Linked DNA regions of Notamacropus eugenii. The protein of the gene in region 1 interacts with the protein of each later gene in a pairwise test. Links are inferred from orthologs where the notes say so. Each region holds a gene or a part of one and is shown on either strand. Other genes may lie near its edges.

What was found.
Region 2: the proteins of CCDC33 (region 1) and ZBTB8A interact in a two-hybrid assay, tested with the Homo sapiens proteins (2 studies listed by BioGRID and IntAct). The two-hybrid records come from large-scale screens. The link is inferred for Notamacropus eugenii from reciprocal best matches to the Homo sapiens genes CCDC33 and ZBTB8A.

The regions. Positions count from the first base shown.
Region 1 is NC_092872.1:242,198,024-242,208,809, forward strand, and holds the start of CCDC33 (coiled-coil domain-containing protein 33), read right to left. Parts: upstream 3,996-10,786; 5' UTR 3,513-3,995; coding exon 3,492-3,512; intron 1-3,491.
Region 2 is NC_092876.1:77,435,095-77,445,494, forward strand, and holds the start of ZBTB8A (zinc finger and BTB domain-containing protein 8A), read right to left. Parts: upstream 4,670-10,400; 5' UTR 1,248-4,669; coding exon 1,216-1,247; intron 1-1,215. Other genes in the region: ZBTB8B (zinc finger and BTB domain-containing protein 8B), read right to left, coding at 9,337-9,645. UniProt on the Homo sapiens protein: May be involved in transcriptional regulation.

The sequences.
Region 1 (10,786 bases):
AGTGTTGATTAGCTGTCTCCATGGTGAGAGTCCCCCACTCCTCCCCCCAATGAAAGCCTTCCAGAAATTATGAAATTTGAACACGGCATGAATCAACACTAGAGTAATTGCTTGGCTTGTTTGCATGTGTAACAAACAGATTTCTGGAGGTGAGAAGAGAAGAAAAATTGGACCCTTAACTGTATAATTACCTTTGAGAAAATCCATCTTGATGTTAAGCATTTGCATGAATGCCAGAAATAGATGAAACTCAGGTACCAAAGGGCTGTCATAAATATGTACATATGTACGTATGTACTATATATATATATATACTCACATGCATACATATATATGCATATATACTGATATATAATAAATAACCCCTTCAGGGCTAGTTATTTTCATTAGCATAGCTCTGGAAGGTTTACAAAGCCTCATAGGCAGTAGTCCACCTGTTATCTACAACTACCCAAGAGAGAGGACTCGTCCAGGGTCACACAGCTAGTAAGTTCCTGAGATGGGATTCGAACCCAGTACTTCCCAACTCCTAAGTCCAGCCTTCTATCTGCTTTATACCATGCTGCCTCTAAATAAACAAGAACCCATCTGAACCTCTCAAAAACTCTGTGTGGAAGATACAATCAATATTATTATCCTCAATTTACGATAATCAAATTATATATTTGTAACTCATTTGAAGTACACATAGCAGGCACTTGATAAATGTTTTCCCTCACACTGCATCATAACCGGAATTTCCAGTTAGCATCAATCAGTCTCATCCCAGTGACTCCCATGCACTGAGCTCATCAGCAGAGAGGAAGACCAGGATCTCTTTCCTTAGGGACCTCATAGCCTAGCTAGAGAGAGAAGACTTATGCAGGTGACAAAATTGGAGAAGTATGGGCCAGTATGAGATCATGGGCTAGCTGGGAACCTCCTCTCCCCACATGACCCAGCTTCTCAGCTCCTCTTTGTATGTTGTCTTTTAGAATGTAAACTCCCAGAAAAGTTTAGTATTGAGAAAATTATAAGCATAATTGACCATATTAATAATAAAAACAACAAAAAAATCATATGTCAATAGATGTAAGAAAAGCTTTTGACAAAATGCAACCTCCATTCCCATTAAAAACAACAGAAAGCATAGGAATAAATGGAGCTTTTTTTAAAAAATGATAAGTAGTATCTATCTGTTGCTGGTCCTTTGCTTTCAAAGAAGACCAATGACACCATGGGGTGATGTCTTGACCAGTGCACAAACTGGATTTAAGTGAGGTAGAGTTGCATAATGTCAATAAAACCCAACAGGAAGAGATAAAAAGAGAAATTCCATTTAAAATTAGCTGTAGACAGTAGAAAACACTTGGGAATATACCTGCCAAGACACACATAGGAACTCATATGAACACAATTACAAAACATTCTTCATACGGATAAAGACAAATCCAAATAATTGAAGAAATATTAATTGTTTGTGGGTAGCCTGAGCAGTACTATAAAAATGACAGTTACCTAAATTAATTTGCTTATTCAATATCATGCCAATCAAACTATCAAAGAATTATTGTAAAGAGCTAGAAAAAATAACAAAATTCATCTGGAGGCGCAAAAGTTTCAGGATATCAAGAGAATCAATGAAAAAATGAAGGAAGGGAGCCTAGCAATACTAGCTCTCAAACTGTACTACAAAGTGATTATCATCAAAACAATCTGGTACTAAGAAAAAAATAGAGTGGCTGATTGATGGAATAAATTAGGTCCATAATATACAAAAATAAACAACCATAATAATCTAGTGTTTGATATACACAAAGATCCCAGCCATTAGAGCAAGAACTCACTTTGACAAAAACTGCTGGGAAAACTGGAAAGCAGAATGACAGAAATAGGCATAGACCAACATCTCACTCTATATATGAAGATAAACTCAAAATGGGGACATGATTTGGACATAATGGTTGATACCATAAGCAAATAAGAGGAATACAAAAAAATTACCTGTTATAGCTATGATAAGGAAAGAATTCATGACCAAAAAAGAGACAGAGAGGATCAAAGGAGATAAAATGGATAATTTTGTTTATATTAAATAAAAAAGTTTTGCACAAATAAAACCAATGTAGACACTGAAAGCAAGAGACTGGGAAGAAATTTGTTAACAGCAAATTTCTCTGATAAAGGTCTAATTTCTCAAATATATAGGGAGCTGAGTCAAATTTATAAAAACAAGAAACCATTCTCCAATTGATAAATGATCAAAGGATATGAACAAGCAGTTTTCAGAAGAAGAAATCAAAACTATCTATAGTCTTCTGAAAAAATCCTCTAAATCGCTAACAATTAGAGAAAGGCATATTAAAACAACTCTGAGGTACTATGTCACACCTATCAGATTGGCTAATTTTGACAGCAAAGGCGTATGACAGATGCTGGAAGGAGGTGGAAAAACAGAGACACTAATATACTCTTGGTGGAGTTGTGAACTGATCCAGCCATTCTGGAGAACAATTTGGGATCTATAGAGATCTATAAAATCCTTTGAAGCAGCTATTAGGTCTGTATCCCAAAAAGATCTAAGAAAAAAGGAAAAAGACCCACATGCACAAAAATATTTATAGCAGCTCTTTTTGTAGTGGCAAAGAACTGGAAGGTGAGAGGATGCTCAGAGAATGAATGAACAAGTTGTGGTATGTGATTGTGATGGAATACTATTGTGCTGTAAGAAATGATGAAGGAAATGGTTTCAGAAAATATCTGAGAAGACTTACATAAACTGATACAAAGGGAAGTAAGCAGAACCAGGAAAACAGTGCCCATAGTAACAGCAATATTGTGACAATAATTCACTGTGAAAGACTTAGCTACTCTGATCAATAAAATAATCCACAACAATTTAAAAGGATTCATTATGAAAAATGCCATCCATCTCCAGACAGAGGAATGATGGTCTCAGAGTTCAGATGGAAGCATATTTTTTCTTAATTTATTTTTCTTGCTTTTTTTCTTTTTTGCAACATGTCTAATGTGAAATTACTTTGCATGACTTTATATGTATAATGAGTGTTGTATATCTTACCTTCTCAATGAGTGGGGGAGGGGTGGAGAGGAAGAGAATTTGGAACTGAAAATTTAAATTTAAAAAAATGTAAGGTCCTCCAGAACAAGGATTGTCTTACTTTTTGCTTGTATGTATATTCCCAGCATTTCACATAGTGCCTGGCACATAGGAAGTGCTCAGTAAAGACTTATTTGTTGCCTGAGTTCTTCAATCCTAGGCTAGAAAAGGGAGTTGGGGAAATTCTCTAGATACTTTTCTGGCCCTATGATTTTGCTACTTGAAAGTTAGACCACCCTATTGTATTAGGCACACATTGGATTGGTAGGATATTAGAACCAGATGGGTACAGTTATCTGTTGTCTCTTCCATTTTACAGATAAGAAAACTGAGGCTTATAGTGGGGAAGTGAAAAACTGAAACTCACAGAACTAATGGATAATAGGCTTACCCTTTTCTTGCTCCATCCCATTCTCTTTCAGAGTAGAAGCTTTCTTGTTGGATTCCTGCTCAATTAATAATCTTGCGTGCTAATGTCTGGCACTTCTGGGTCAACTAGAATCAGTCCCACTCCACCTGGGAATTGGCACAGATGTCTCCAAGTCTGTGGAGCAATGACACAGGCACGGACATCCCCTGAGGTAGGTTTGAGCAATAGCTAGAGGCTGTGTGGTCCACTGGGCTCTGGTGGCCAGAGACAGCGGTGGACGTGGCAGAACTGTGGCTGGATGTCTTCCTTAGTGTAGGGGCATTCCAGGTCTGGCAATGCCATCAGGGGCCACAGACATGGCAGTCAATGGGGGGGGGTATGGCAGGGTCAGTAGCCAAGCATCCTTAGTCTTTACGTCCCCCCATGAATGACAAGGGGTGACACTGTCTCCCTGCTCTCACGGAGATCTGGGGAACCTACTCTTCCCTCCCCTGAGGGGTTGGGGGTTGGTTCTGTTGCCATAGTGATGCTATGTGATGTCAGAGGTAAATGAGAGCACAGGGAAACCACCCACTCATAGACTTGTAAGTTGTTAATATTTGATGTTAGAGTCCTAGAGTTGGTAGTCCTCCATTCAAGCCCCCTTATTTGTACAGATGAGTTCACTCTTGAAGGTAGTTATATGAAAGAAGGATCAGAGTTACTCTGCTTTGCCCAAGGCAGAATTGGAAGCAAAGGATAGAAATTGAGGGAGATGGGAATATGGGAAGAGAGGACAGGGGAGCAGAGATCAGCTTAATAGAAGGAAGAACTTTCTTCCAATTATCACTGACCAAAAGAGGAGCTGCTTTTCCTTAGGAAGTAGTGAGTTCCCTGTTACCAAGATCTTTAAGGAGAATTGGGGTGACCACTTGCTAGTGATGTTGGAGAATTAATAAGAAGACTGATGTCTCCTGGCCCTTCGGAAGTTTATATTTGGGCTGGGGAAGCAAAATCAATGCATATGTCTGACTTATTTTGATTTCTCACTTCTCTGGAGCATTTGATGCTTTTGGGCCCCTCTCTCCTCCCTAGGTTTTTATGACCCTCCTTCTTACCTATCTGACCAATCCCCTCAATCTCCCCCACAGGCTCATCATCCATGGCCCAGCCCCCAGGTGAACAGGAACATCAGGGTTCACTTTTCTCCTTTCTATAGTTTCCATTGGTGACTTCCTTAGGCCCCATGGACTCAACCATCAGCTAGTGGCCTAGTGGATAGAGCACCAGGCCTGGAGTCAGAAAGACCTGAGTCCAAATCCTGCCTCAAACACTTCATAGTTGTGTGACTGTAGGCAAGTCACCTCACCTCTGTCTGCCTCAGTTTCCTCATCTATAAAATGGGAGTAATAATAGCCCCCACCTCCTAGGGTTATTGTGAGGGTCATGAGATAATGTTTGTAGAGTGCTTGGCACATAGTAGGTTCCTTTCTCTTTCCTTCTACGCAGATGCCTCTAATATCTACAAAGTAAGCTCTCATCATTTTCTTGAATTTCATTTAGTCGATTAGAGTTTATTAAGTGCTCACAATATGCCAGGCATTCTGCTAAGCACTGAGGATACAAAGAAAGGTTAAAAAAATGACTGTTCTCATGTAGCTCACAGCCTAATGGAGGAGACAAGCCAATAAGTTAGGTACAAATAAGATAGAAACTGGGGGTAACCTCAAAGGGAATTGTGCATGTTCAATCATTTTAGTCATGTCTGACTCTCCATGACCCCATTTGGGATTTTCTTGACCAAGATACTGAGCAGTCTGCCATTTCCTTCTCCAGCTCGTTTTACAGATGAGGAAACTGAGGCAAACAGGATGAAGTGACTCTCCCAGGATCACCCAACTAGTAAGCATCTGAGGCTGGATGTGAGCTCAGGAAGATTTTTCTTGATAGACATTAAGATTAATATTAAGTTCTTGTAGAACATAGGACTTCAACTGAGCATCAAAAGAATTCAGGGAGTCTAGAAGATAGAGATACAGAGAGAGTATGTTCCAGGTATGGGGTGGGGGGGGTGGCCAGTCTGAGGAATAGACAGGAGATCAGTGTCATTGGATCTCAGACAAAGTGAAGGGATGGGGAAGTAAGGGAATAAGGTGTAAGAAGTCTGGAAAAGGAGGAGGCAGCTCAGGAAGAGCTTTAAATGCTGCGGTCCAGCATCTCCAACTCCTTGCTGGATATGTGCCCCTAGATGTCCTATAGGTACTTCAAACTCGAGAAGTACAAAATATATTGCCCCCCTCCCACTCCCACTCCCCACCACTTTCCCTTTCCTCTTAGATTCCTATTTTCTTCTGAGGTGGTGCTAATAATCTTCCAGTAACAAGGGTGAGATCCACACCAACCTTGGAGTGCTCTTGAACTCCCCACTCTCACTCATTCCCTATAGGCAAATCGTGCTGATTCGGCCCATGATTCTATGTTTGTTGATATTTCCTCAGAAGGATGAGACCTTCCAATGACTCTCTTCCCCATCCTGATGGGGGCTATCTGATTTATATCTGACCACTGGACCTAGAAGTCTGTGGAGGAGAAAGTGAAGCTGGTGCACAGCCCTTGTCACTTAAATCCAATTCATTTGCAAGTCACAGCATCACTTTCCTGGTGTCATGGTCCTCTGAGAATGAAGGACAAACAGCGACAACATCCAGATGTTATGTCCAGACTACTCAGGGAAGAATGGCTAGCTTCTAAAGGCTAACTCTGCCTACACCTTCTCTTCTTTGGGGTCACAGGGCTGGCCCATTAGGAAAGTCAAAGGTCCAGTTGCTTATCCAGCAGAGAGCTATGTTCCCACCAGCAGGGCTTTTAACAGTCTGAGGGGGACCAGACTGATGCTGTTAATCAAGGAGACAAGGATCTGCCTTCTGCTCAGACACTGTTCTCTGGTTTTGCGAGTCCTACTTAATCCCTTACCCTTTCCCTTCCTTCCTTCTCTACTCAGTATCAATAAGCAGAGAGGAATTTCTCAGCAAAGTTTCCCTGGTCCATGGATCAATGGGAACAAGAGTTGCCCTACTGGGAACCAGGAAATAGGTGATTTGCTTTCCACTTTCCATTCCATTTTTCCTTTTAACCTGATGGCTCCAGTATCTGCCTGCTGCTACCCCTCAACTTCCCCAGGCCCACTCCTGACTGGACCCCAAGACTTTTTCCTTCTTCCTTTCTCCTCATTCTCCCTCTCATCTCTCCCATTCCATTCTTCTCCTAAACCTTTTCAGATTGTGTTCCAAGGATACAGGGCTTAGCTTTTAGCTTTGGTTAATCTGATGAACTAAGTCCAGCCAAGTTGTTAAGGACTGATAATAACTATATATTTTTCTACCCCATGTAATATTTGCTTATTTTAAATTTAAAACTCAGAGGTCAAAGAATGGTAGATGCTTCTGTCTTGTTCTCAATGGTGGGGGAGGAGGAGGGAAAGAAACACATTTGGAACTGAAAATAAAATAAAATAGAATTTATAAACAAACATAAAATATCCTCTCCTCTCCCTCTTCCCGCCCCTCTCCAGGAACAGAAGGCAGTTGGTAAAGAAGATATTTGGGAGCAGCCAGTCTTCCTGTACCTCTCTGATCCAATCATCTGCCAGCTTTGCACTACTCCTGTGTTCTCAGGATCTACAGGGAAAATGGGGACAATAGAAACTAATATTGAACAGAAGAATAGGACTGGGTTACCTGGACAACATAAATATAGGGGCTGCTAGAGAGCTTTTACTTTAGTAATTTATCCCTCCCATCATTTCCCATCCATGAGTTTATTTCAAAGACTTAGAGTGTCATATAATGACAAGAGTCCTGGACTTGGTGTAGAAGGATTGAATTCAAATCCTGGCTTGCTTGTTTGTTGTTTATATGACCTTGTGACCTCATCAGAGAAATGAAGGGGTTGGGTTAGATGGTCTCTAAGGTCCCTCTCTTCCCTAAATTTTTTCATTTGATACCCATAGCCTAACTAAAAAAATAGGTAGATGAAATTCTTTCTATTTTATTGATTGTAAAACTGAGGTCCAACCATAGCTACTCACCAATATAAATGTTCCATTTTCACCAGGTCAGTCTCCTCACTATCTACATGAGTCCTCTTGGAGTCTTGGAATGATTCCATGATCTAGGATGCACCTTTATCTGCTCTGAATCCTGCTTATCCTGTGAGGCCAAGTTCATGTCCTGACTCTCCAGGAGTGCTTCTCTCACCTCTCTAGGCTACACTGACCCCACCTTTCTCTGACCTCTTACAGCCCTTGTTGACCATAACTCCATCAATTGATTATAAACTCCCTTCAGTTGTCTGGTAGTTGCTCCACAGGTCAGTTAGTCAACAAGCTCTATTAAGCGCTTACCATATACTAGGCACTGTGTCTTACATAGGCCCAAATTTGGAACTCTGCTCCAAATGTTGCTACATATGTTAATGTTGCATACCCTTTGATTCAGCAATTCTGCTACTCATTCCATACCTCGAAAAGATTAAAGAAAGAAGAAAAAGAACCAAACATGCAAAAACATTTATAGCAGCTCTTTCTGTGACAGCAAAAAATTAGAAACTGAGGGAATGCTCTTCAACTCCGGAATGACTGAACAAGTTACAGTATTTGAATGTGATGGAGTACGATTGTGCTGTGAGAAATGAAGAGATGGTTTCAGGAAAATCTAGGAAGACTTTTATGGACAGATGCAAAGTGAAGTGAACAGAACTAGGAGAATGACTTAAGCAATAACACAATGGAAAAGATAAAGCTCTGAAGAAAAACCTGGAAACTCAGGAAGATGAGTCTTTCCCATTCCAGGCCCAGCATTCTGTCCACTGAGTTCAAATACAGCCTTAGACACTTACTAAGTATATGTCACTGAGCAAATCGCTTAATCCTGTTTGCCTTAGTTTCCTCATCTATAAAGGATCTGGAGAAAGAAATGCCAAACCAATCCAGTAGCTTTGCCAAGAAAACCCCAAATGGGGCCACAGAGTCAGATAAGAATGAAAAGTGACTGAACAGAAACAAAAAGAAGTATAGAATAATTTACATACATATATGTATGTATATATGTATGTATATATGTATACACACACACACACACATATATATATTTGTGTCTAATGATAATTATCTCTAGGGTGGGGAAGGGAAAAAAATAAAAAAGAAATTTACGTGATCATTATATATTTAAAAGGAATAGCAATACACAATATATTTGCACTTCGTATGCAATCATCTTTTTATTATACTATGTTATGGAAATGCTTCTTTTATTTCATAAATAAAAACAAATGTGGGGAGAAAAAGGAAGCTATACACATCCATTACTGGACCTTGAAGTTTCTGGACTGCTTTACCTATATTACTTTCGGAGTGAGATGACCTGAGTTCTAATACTAGCTCAGCTTTGCCAGTTTTGATTTGTACGACCTTATAAATGGCTTTTAACTTCTCCTTTGTCAAATGAAGGGCTTGGACTAGGGGACCTCCAGAGTCTCTTCAGGATCCTGTGGTGTCATTTCTACCTCACAATGCCCCTGTGAGTAAGATTAGTTTTTGCTATTCCCATTTTATGGATGAAGAAACTGAGTGAGTGCCAATGGCAAGACTCAGACCCAGGTCTCATCTGACTCTAGGTCTTTTGATCTTTTCTACCCTTGAACCCCAGAATCTTGATCCACCTTTTCCCTGTACCTCCAGGTTTGCTCAGCCTGGAGGGCCAGAGCTGAGGAGGTCCTGGCCTGCCCAAGCTAGTGTAAGAAATCTTGTTGAGGAAGAGAATGATGAGCTTGTCTGGGGCTGAGAGCTCTTCCCAAGGAGTGATGGATGGGCGGGGCAGTGGGAGGCAGCTTTATCTCTCTCCAGAGACCCCTCGAAATAACAGCCAGAGGGGTAATGAGAATGAAGAGGCTCTGAATTCCCCACAAGCTTTTCTAAGTCAATGCTTCCCTGGGCTCTCTTAAATTGTCCTACTTCACCCTGCCCCTCCCCTCTGGCCCGCCTGATACCGGAACACCCGGGAGCTGGTCTTTCATCCAATAGTGAAGCCTATTTTGTGTGTCACCAGCCCCATGCTCCATCGTGATCTCTTCTTCCCCTTTCTCCACCTCCAGCAAACAAAAATGCTCACCTGCATCCAGCTGGACGTGGCTTTGGTTCTTACTCAGCCACTGCCTGGCCAAGCCCTTTTTCCTCTCAGGGTCTCAGTTTCCTCATTTGTAAATTGAGGAGGAGACTAGATGATGCCTGATGTCTCTCCCAGCTCTGAGTCTCTTACCTTATCCTGGGCATAGCAGAACTGCCCTAGACAGAGTGAGAGAGAGCACACCACCATGGCCCCCTGAGCAATATAATGCCACAGACATTTGTCAGCCCTGGAGGGTCTTTTCAGAAGCTGGTTGTTCACTGCCTAGTCCCACATCTTGGGGAAAATCAGGACATTCAGTTTGTAATGGGGCTAGAGTGGAAGGGAGGGTGTAGTTCCTTTCATTAAAGGATAGATGTTAGCCAGTCAACAAATAGAGAGCTGCTTCCTTGCTTGTGGATGCATGGTATCTAAGAAATTAGAATGACCAAGACAGCCCTGGAAGAGAATTGAATGGATTTGAAGGGGGCTGGTCTAAAATATCTCTGAGGTCTTTTTCAGTTCTAAACCTATAACCCCTGACCCCATGGTCTTCTCCCCACTCATATCTTCGTCCAGGGGCAGTGTCCTCCTCCGTGGCCTCTTGCCTGTCCCTCTCTGCATTTCCTGTCTCTGATGTAGCTAATGCAATTTGGATCCTTTATCTTGGGGCTATCATCACCATCTCAACTTCAATCTCATCCTCTGGTATAGCATGGGAAGGCTCTTTCTCCTTGACTTTGTGATACAGGATGGGGGCCCTCCTGGGATCTCCCCAGATAAGGGTAAGATCTTGGCACAAGAAGAGAGAGCTACTCTTAGGCTCCCATAATTTTAAAATTGAGAAGGGCCTTAGAGAGTGTCTAGTTTGATTTCTCAATCTACAGATGAGGAAACTGAGGCCCAGAGAGGGTTAGAATGTCCCAGATGATACAACTCATTAGAAATAGAGCTGGGACATAACTGGAGGTCTTTCAGCTCTCCATCCTATGCTCTTTCCATTATGATACAGTTGTCTCCTTGGATAATGTCAAATTGAAAAACATATAGACTCCTAGATTTGAAAGTGGAAGGGATTGAAGAGGTCATTTGGTCCAAAACCCCCATTTTACAGAAGGCCCATGGCTTCTGTAGGGTCACACAGCTAGGAAATATCTGAGGCAGGATGCAAACCCA
Region 2 (10,400 bases), on another chromosome or scaffold:
ATTCTGACAGGAAGAAATAATTCCAAAAGACATTACAGGAGACTTTATTAGTGGTACTCAATAGGAAGGAATAGAGAATATGGGGAAAGGTTCCCACTCAGAGAATTAGGTTATATCTCTGGGAAGAAAGAGCTGATCCCTGGGCATTAGCTGATGGTAGGATAGAAACATGATGTCAAAGAACTATCAGTGATTGTTCTACTGGCTAGGAATTTGAATGGGGTTTTTATAAGATTTTCAAGGATATTCCCACACCCATCTGCATGGTAGTAGGGGTCTATCTCCCAGGGCAGGGAAAGTAAATGCCTGCTCAGCATTCTGACCTTGGACATCTTGTTACAACATGGGCCTTATACCAAGAAACAGGGAAGAAGATGTTCTCTTATCAAGATACATTGTGAGGAAAGCCCAAGGTTGGTGTAGGGGGAATGGAAGGAGATCAGCAACCCAGCTGCTAAGTTTCCATAGCAAATTAAAACTGTGTCACAAGTCAGAGTTACAAGATGAATCACACAGAAATTTCTATTTCTACTATAACAATACCTCACCTCCTTGAAGACAACCGTCAGGTCCCTACTAAGTCTTCTCCATCTTTCAAAAGATCATCATATGACATAAACTCAAAACCTTTCATCTTAGCTGCCCTCAGAGTCATTCCTATACTGTGGTAGCACACAGAATAAGACATACCACTTTTATTTGACAAGAGCAAAGTGCCACAGAATTGTTACTTCCTTACTCCAGGAAATCTTTCCTCTCTTTACACTGTCAAAGATTGCATTAGCATTCTTGGCTACTGTATTTCACTCATGATTCAAATTGAACTTGCAATCCACTAACCCCCACCAGATCTTTTTTGGATGAACTATTATTTAATCGACCATCCTGAAATAAAAACCAGTCCAAATCATCAAATATGCATTTGGGTCATTGGTTTGTTGGTACCAAACTGAACATGTTCCTGTCCACAAGAAATTGAATGTTACATGCTGGCATTTAGCCCCCCCAAAAAAATTCATTTTCTAAAACAATACAGTACCCGAAGTATAGTTTGAGGGAGAAAGAAGGGAAGGATAGACCCAAATTCTCTTGTCCAGCTAAGTCATTTATTCCACTTTGTATTTTTTTCCACAGTAAAAAACAAAACAGAATTAGATCACATAATAACAATAGGCACAGATCAAGTACATTAAAAACATTACAGTATAGACCAACCTAGGAATGCACCACCGTAGATTATTCCCCATCCTGTTGAGGGAAAGGTGCCTCTTGCTGCTTTCTGATAGTCCAGATCATTTACAGCTTTGGTGTGTTTTGCCTTCTAATGTCTTCAGCTCCCTTCCGCAAATGCATTTATCTATCAGAAGAACTGGCCAACTCACTGGATGTCAGACTGGATGTCAGTTTCCTTTTCCTTTAGATGGTTTATAGGAAATGCAGAGCTGTCATGGTCCAGAGATCTGCAACTGTGGCTCTAAGTTCTTCCTCAGGTTTCTGGATCATCTACCACAGTTACTGTTTCTATTATTACACACTGTATTGCCAAAGAAGTAAGCTGCCATCTTCAATCAAAATCTCTAATCACCTCATTGGAGAAACAGATTAGCAAAAATTCCATCTCCAAAGGGAGACTGGTAGTCTCTTACACCATGAGACCAAGACATGAACAGAGATATGAATAATACAATAATTTTTCTTTTCAAAGTACAGTTCATAAAACTAGCCTTCATTTGGCTTCTTTCAAGTCTCAGCTAAAATCCCACCTTCTGCAAGAAGCCATTTGTATGCCTCCCTAATCTTAATGCCTTGCCTCTGAGTCATCTCCAATTTACCCTGGATATATCAATTACATATAGTTGTTTGCACGTTGTCTCATGTTTCATGTTACCTCCTTGAGAGTGAGGGCTGTCTTTTGTTGGTTTTGCCTTTCTTTGTCTCTGCAGTGCTTATATAGTGCCTAACACATAGAAGGCACTTAATAAATGCTAGCTGATTGACTGAATGATTCTATTTTGTGATATGTTGCTTTGCCTCAACTAAAGGCTAATAATAGTGATGAGGAGGAGGAGGAGGACAGCATGTATATAGTGCCTTAAGGCTTGCAAAGTGATTTACATTCATTAGTCTTTCCCATAAAGCAAGTGTCATCCTCATCTCAGTTACAGGAAATCAAACCCAAAACCTGAATACGAATGAGGCCCAAGTAAACAAAAGATGTGCAGCTAAGAGCAAAGAATCTATAATTTCACACTCACAATGTGCATAAGCAACCCTTTACATGTTACCAGCCCCACTGGTGTGGTGATAAAGTAGTTCTAGGGAAATGCTGCTAAGGCAGAACGTTACAGACAGCACCAAGTACCACAAAAACAACACTGTCACTCAGTGGTAAGTACAGGGTCGCACAGCTTTCCCATGGAACTTGTTTACAATGGAAGCAGTACGGTCCAGGTAAAAAAAGTATTAGATGTAGGGTCAAAAGAGCTGAGTTCAAATCCCATATCTGCCACTTAATATCTGTGTAACTTTGGGCAAGTCATTCACTTCTTTGGGCCCAGTTTCCTCATCTCTTAAACAAGGGGCTCCCTTGTAGGTGAGCCCAAGGATTCCTGCCTGCTCTAAACCTGTGATCCTGCCAAAAATGGGAAAGTTCCTTACTCAGCCCAAGCTTTCCAATGATCTACTTGAGTTACTACATGTACTAGAAGGGACAGGACATTCCTGTACCCAGACTGGCTTTTGAGAATACATTGCCAAATAAGATAACGAAAGTCTTTTTATGCTAAAGGCTAGAGATGTTTTCATTCTAAGCTTTTTGTTTCGGCTTCATAATGTGATTCAGCATAAGCCAAGCAGGAATAATGGTACCTTAGGTATCATCCCCTTTTCTTCCCAAGCTCATTTTCTAAATGAGATGCTAATTTGGACCCTTGCTGGCCCCAGATTCATTTTTATCTTAGAATAGATAGAATTTTCTTCTGACTAACACATGGAATACTCCTTGGGGAGAGAGGAAGGAGGAGTAAGTAATAAAAACAGACATTCATTTTTCACTGATAGTCGAAGCAACTACTATAAAGGCCTTTTAGAAAAACTTAGATAAAGGATGCTGTCAAAGATGCTGTCCTTCAGATGCACTAAGATCCCAAACACTGGAGATACATTTTTATTTTAGACACAGTAATAACATGGGAGATATTGGCTAGTGAAGATGACTGGTCATTTTTTCTTAGCTTCAAACAAGACAGCCCCACCCAGTCTCTTGAATCATGCACAATTAACGTTTCTCAATGAGTACTGGGTTCATCCTGTAATGTTGTCACAAGGGAAATTTGAGGATCTTATTTCACCATTTTTTTCCACAGGGGAGACCAAGACCATGAATATATGCAAACAACAACCCACAATACTCATTTAAAGTAAATGGTTCACGTTGGATCTAATATTCCTATTTCATTCAGAGCTTGGACTTTTCTGGTTGTTGATCTGCCTGTGCATCAAACACAACAGAACTAAATAAACTTTCTGGTACTGAAGGGCATAGTGTGACACAACAGCTATAACACTGGTCCTAGAATCAGAATTTCTTGGATTCTAGTCTCAGCCCTGAGTGACTTTAGGCAAGGCACTTCATCCTTCTGGGCTTCAGTTTCATCATCTCTAAAATCGAGATAAAGATACTTTTACCAGTGCCAAATTGAGAGAGTGGACAGAGGTCCCATTTGGAAGTCAGGAAGACCTGGATTAAATCCTGCCTCTAACAGATACTCTTTGTTTGATCCTGGGCAAGTCACTTACCTTCCTGGTGCCCCAGGTAGTTCTCTAAAGGTGTAAGTCACAGAGCAGTTGCTGATCTCTATACCAATGAAATCACAGGTCTCATCCAAAACAAAAAACAAAAATGCTTTCACTACCTAACTCACAGGATTGTTATGAGGAAAGTACAGTGGAGTCTCAAAGTGCTATAGCAATGTGAGCTATTATTTGATTCTTGACCTCTTCTTGTCCAACTTTAAAGTTGGCAGGCCATGTCCAACACAAGACAAGTGTATATAATCACATGAGGTCCCAGTCATGTTTTCCTCTGCACAATGGCTGACCACCTCCTTCCAAAATAGTTTACTGATGTACTTACGTGACAGCAACACAATTTGATGGGAAGCACTAGACTAGCAGTCACAGAAGACATATATTCTCGTCCCAGCTCTACCACCATGTAGCGCTGTGTGACTGTAAAATGTGTTCCCTTTTATGGCCCCTAATATTTCCCTTTTAGAAATGATTATATCCTAAGTGGCTCTAGCTAGGTAGTACAATGTAGAGCACTATAGGAGTAAGGAAGTCTCATCTTCCTGAGTTCAAATCTGGCCTCAGATACTTACTAGCTATGTGACCCTGGGCAAATCACTTAACCCAATTTGCCTGAATTTTTTCATCTGTAAAATGAGCTGGAGAAGGAAATGGCAAACCACTCTGCCAAGAAAATCTCAAATGGAAGCAGGAAGAGGTGGACGTGACTGAACAACAAACAAGTGGCTCCTAGCTCTGACATTCTATGACTAAGTGCAAGGTATCTGATGACTATTCAAGGTCATCGGATAATTAAGTCTTGAATCAGCAGAAAATTCATTTCTATAATGTACTGAAGACCAAGAGTGGTAATAATGGGTCACATTTTTATAGTCTTTGCAGTATAAAAATCATCCTTCTCATAGCAACCCCGGGAGGTAGGGAGTACTAACAGATAATACTGCTCTGAGCTTTTTACAAGTGATCCACAGAATTTAAGAGCTGGAAGGGACCTCAGTAGCCATCTGGTCCACCCTATACTTAAGGGAAAAAAGGAATCTCCAGTATAGTATACTAGACAAGTAATCATCTAACCTCTGCCCAAAGCCCTCCAAAAGGAGGGGGAGCTCACCTGTCTCTAAGAAGTCCGTTTTACTTCTGGACAGCTCTTATTGTTAGAAGTGTTTCCTGACAGCATTTCTTACACTGGCTTCTTTGTACCTTTTCCTCGTTGCCTTCGCTTTTATTCTTCCGGGTTCAAAAAGAAAAAGCCTACTCTCTCTTTCTAATGATGAAACTTAGATCCAGACAGAGAAAACAACTCCTCCATAACCATCCAGTTAAGAACCACGAGACCCAGGTCGTGCTATTTTGAGTCCAATGTCTTTACCTATACAATGCTTACTCACCCTTAAATGTCCACTGTGAATGTTGATAATGATAAAGCTAACATTTACATAGGACATTTATAAAGTGTGCAAAGCACTTTTCATGTTATTTCATCCTCACAGCAACCGTATAAAGTAGGTACACTTATGTTCCTATTTTACAGATGTGGAAACAAAGATTGAGGGCAGTTAAAATACTTGTCTAGCATCACACAGCTGAAGGCTGAGACAGGATATGAACTCAGTTTTTTCTGACTACAAGTCTACTGTACTACTTAGCTGCCTCTCTGTCCTTGGGAAAATACCATGCTTTTCATTTGCCACTTGAAGGTGCCCAAATAGAAAGGGTTTTCTTTGCTATCTCCTCAGAAAAGGGCATATTAGACACAAAGCAATCTACCTATACTCAAAGTGGTTTTCCTTCTTCCTCAGAAAGTGCCATGTGAGAAGGAGGATGTCTTTTCAGCCCTATAAAGGAGGTGCAGTAGAACTTGGCTAACAGCAAGAGAACTTGGTAGATTGACCAAACAGTACAAGGAAACAAATCAATGCAAACATGGCCTGGGCCAAACAAAATAGTAAAGTGCATAATTTTCCAAATGGGATGATGAACTCTGCAGGAAAATGAAAGGCCAACCTAGCCAAGCCCCCAGGGCTATAGGACTCTCTGCTCAGAGTGCCCTGGGAATGTTTCTCTTAACCTAACCCTTTAAAGGCCCCAGCATCCCCAGAGGATTTCACAAGGATAATCCTATTCTCTCTACACAAGGAAATCTCTAGGCCCAAATAAAGTCATCTGAATGGTCTGATAGGCTTATTCCTGTATCTAGTCTTGGCTTCATTGTATGTAGGCCTTTCTGCCTGTTCTCTCCTCCCCTTGTGAGTTGGGTATGACTGCACCATATTTCCAGGACGTTCTCCATGTTAAGTTTGACATGACCTAGGATGGCCAGAAGTTTTCATTCTACAGTAGAACTGTGGACCATGGATCAGCACCTCACTAAGAATGTTCAGTGTCTAGTGACCACTCATATATTTACACCGAGCAGCAACTCTTGGCCAAATGACCAGACAGTAGGATTCCTTAGCCTACTACAACTAATCTGTATTTACATTCCAAACCCACCCACCCCACCTCCATCATGAGGAAGGCCTGTCCCCACTATCCATGGACCCCACTTCAAATTCCATTACACACGCAAATCCTCCTTCTTCTCCTCTGCTCATAATTTCTACAATTCCAGGTTTCTTTTTAATTTCTTGGGGAACTTGGATTGAATGTACAGAAAGAAAAGGGTTCATCAAGACTTCCCTGTGGGACACAAAATCTCAATTACTACTGGCACAGCTGTGAATTTACTGCTTATAAAAACATTACCAGCTCCATTGAATGACAGTTCAGAGGCAATAACAAAAGCTCAGAAATATCTCCTATGTGGACAGTAATTCAAAATAAATAGACATTTAGTTTACGAACTGATACTGCACATAAAAAAACACACCTCCTCCAGCAAGATGACAGAACCCAGTGAGCTGAGTATAATCACGAATGCCACTGTTTCTAGTGAGGATATTACTCTCCAGAATTGAGATGAAGGGGAAATAATGGGCCATCTATGACCATAATAGGTTGAAACATTATTATGGAAAGGTCCTCTATCCTGGGGAAATCTTTCAAGGATGAAATTTCACATCCCATTTTCTCCAAGCCACTCTGCTACTTTCAAATTCAGTAATGATCCATTTACTGGGCTGAGGATACACCTCAAAGCCTGGATTTCTTCAATTCTTCTTCTTCACCTGAAATGAACTATCACCTTGGGCTAGTTACCTGCCATCTATACCTTTGCAAAAAAGGGAAGCCAGCCACTTCCCAAGGCTTTAGAAGGGTGGAATTAGGGAGGGTGTGTCAAGCATTCTTGATTCTGGAATACAGGGTATGAAAAGGATGAACTACTGACATTCTTCCATTTCTAGGATGTATTCCCCATCCTACTGGATCTTATAGAGAAGTCCCCAATGGGCATTTATGTTTTTATGCTGAGGAATACAGACAGGTTATAAGGTCCCAAACAGGACTGTGATCTTATATAGGTGCAAAAGCTAGACTGCGAGGTAGAAAAATCTCAAACATTTAAAGTTTAATCACTGAAAACTGCTTTCTGTATATCCCTCCAACACCAAAAATTTAGGGTTTCTCTGTCTTATTAAGATCTCTCCTATTAAGATCTCTCCTTTAAAACAACAGGAAAGAGTGCCCGGTTTTTTATATTAAGGAAAATGTTTCTAGCATTGACTCATTTTTTAATAGTAAACCTCACTCCAATTTTTTCTTCCAACAGCCATAAATCTGGCTCTTTCTTTGGCTAGCTATTTAAGCCCATACTGTACTAACCTCTTTGCAGTGACTTGCTGGTTCAAAGTAATTTACCAATAAATCATTTCTAGGCTCCTAGCTAATTCCATAAGGCATACAGTCAATTATGTACTCAGGAGGCTGAGAACAAAATTACTGTACTACCTTCAGGAAAACACATTTATACCTTAAGAGAAGGCAAAGAATCAGGCCACAATGTAAATTTAACCAGTGTGCCCAATTAAAAAGACGGCTTTATTACCCAAGATTTCCTTAATCCTCTAAATAGCCATATTCACCAGAGCCCCAAGAAGACTGCAAAGAGGGTGGAAGAATATAGTGGATCTCACAAGCATTTCTCTTCACCCTGTGTGCCTCCCTATGTCCCTTGTGGAAGCTTTGAAAAGATCATGGGGACAGGACACTAAAACTTGCTTTTTACGCTTCTGTTCTAACATTCTATTGGAATGCTAGCTTGGCGTTAGAGTCATTGGGTTTGAACCCCCGTAACATAATCTCTGGGACTCAAGATTTTTCTGTAAAATGGACTAGACATCTATGACCCTGTGGAATGCTTCTGGAATCACAAAACATGTGCTAGGTGGGGGGCGCCACTGAACTTCAAAGGCTGGAAGAGTTCTATCACTGATCCCTTGTATGATTCGGGACAAACCATTTGACCATTAGGGTTTCAGTTTCCTCACCTGTAAAATGAGGGGTTTGGACTCAATCATCTTTAAGATTCCACTCAGATTTAACATTCGGTGAGCTGCCACAGGGGCTCTGCTACCGGCCATGTAAGGCTCACTTTATAGTGCGTCCTCAGAGAGGGAGCAGGACAGCCCTTTGATTTATTATGAAAAATTGCTATCAGTGTCTTCTGAGTTTATTATGTGCTTTCCATGCTTACCTACTTAATCAACATATTACAGACTCTTGAGTCCTAGAATTTTAGATTCCTCTGAAAACTTGAAAAAGGGAATCCTGGAGCCACCAAGTCCTTAGATGCTGGCATCTTGGAACTTTCAAATCTTGAGATCATAGAATCCTGGAATCTTAGAGTTGGGAGGAGACTTAGATATCTGTCACAGAGCTTCCTTGTCCATCACCTCTGGATAGACGTCTTATTTTACATTCAAGTGTTTTACTGGTTTTCAGAATTAACTCCTCATTTAAACCCTTACACTAAAATAAAATTTAGAATTCACAGTATCTGAATTGAAAAAACCCCTCTTTGATGGAAGCACCATCAAAAGAGAGTCACAGTTGAACATTTTGGCTAAACTCCAAATTAGGCCCAAAGTAAAATATCCTCTTAGCCATCTTTTCTCAGAAAAAATGTAGTAGTTGCAGGATCAAAAGTGTGTGTGTGGGGGGAGGGGGTGTATGTGTGTTCATATATGTATGTAAGAGAGGGAGGGTCAGAGGTTCTGGTAGCTCCCTGGGGAGAGAAATAGGAAAACAAATAAGGAAATTCTTTCCTACCTACAAAGAGAACCACCTTCTCTCCCAGTCAGGATTCAAACCCACAGCAGTGAGAAAAGGGAGCTGAAAAACACAGCCACAGCTTGACCAGAATGAGAAATTGGTTGATAGAAATACCTCAAAATTATAGTGCACAGCACTGAAGAGTGAAGAAACATTTCAGAATCACAAAAGCCAACCCCTGCCTTGTGTTCTATCAAAAATGTAAATGTGGTCATCGTTTAAAAAAAAAAAAATCCTCTTAGGGTTCCATAAAACTGAGTCCATGGAATGACCAGTCATAAGGAGGACATTAAAAATCCTCCTCCCCATTTATTGCTACATCAGTGCCTCTCGGTCCAGAAGGCTTCGATGCAGTTGACGTTTATCATCGGAATCATCTCCAGTGGGATCGTTTTCTTCCCCAGACTCCACATATATTGGCCATTCACTGTCTGTATCACCCTTCTCCTGCCCCTCAGAGGATGCCTCCATCTGGCTCAGGTTGATAGGTACTGGGTCATCTTGTGGATTCGTAATACATGTACAGCTGTCACATAAACCAAACCTCCGCAGTCCCTGAGACAGGCTGCTTGTGAAGGTTCTCCGGCAACCCTTGCAAATGATTGGTCGATTGGAGCGATGGACCTAAAACAAGGAACAGAATTTCCTGGTGAAAAGAGTGGATGAGCTCAGTAGTGAGAGTGATGTTGGGAGAGGGTGACAGGACTAGGGCTGGAGAGTGGCAAGGACAAAGGAAAGTGGCTCCCCGAAGTGTAAATGAAAAGGGCACGAGAAAAGCTTAATATTCTGACCTCAGTACTTCAAAAGGAGCCATGACACTATGGTTGTGGTCAGCTCTTCCCCTGATACAGACCCCAACCCCTGGCATGTGTCCTGGGGGACAGTCTTGGTGAATGGTGGCCAGTCTTCTGGGAGTGAGCCTCTCCACACCTATGTAGGCTTGCCTTCAGAAACAGACAGACTGGGCCCATCGAGACAATGCTTTAAGCAACATATATATATCCATTGTTGCTATTATTACTCAGCATTTCTAGATTACTGGGACTTGCCAAATCTTAGGCTCCACTGGCACAGCCTTTGTCAGGTCACCAAAGAGAACTCTGATCTTACTGGAGCATCATACAGATGGAGGAGCTGAAGCCAGAGGCACAATCTGAGGAGGAAGAGGACCTTTAAAATTCCATTTTATGTGGCTGTGTGGTAGAAAGCACTAGACTTAGAAACAGGAAGACCTGGGTGCAGATCCCACCTCAGACCCTGAGTAACTCACTTAACCTATCCTCATCTGTAAAACAGGGATAATAACAGCACCTCCTTCCCCAGGTTAATATAAGGAACAAATCAGATACTGTGGACTATGGTTATCACCATTACTAGGA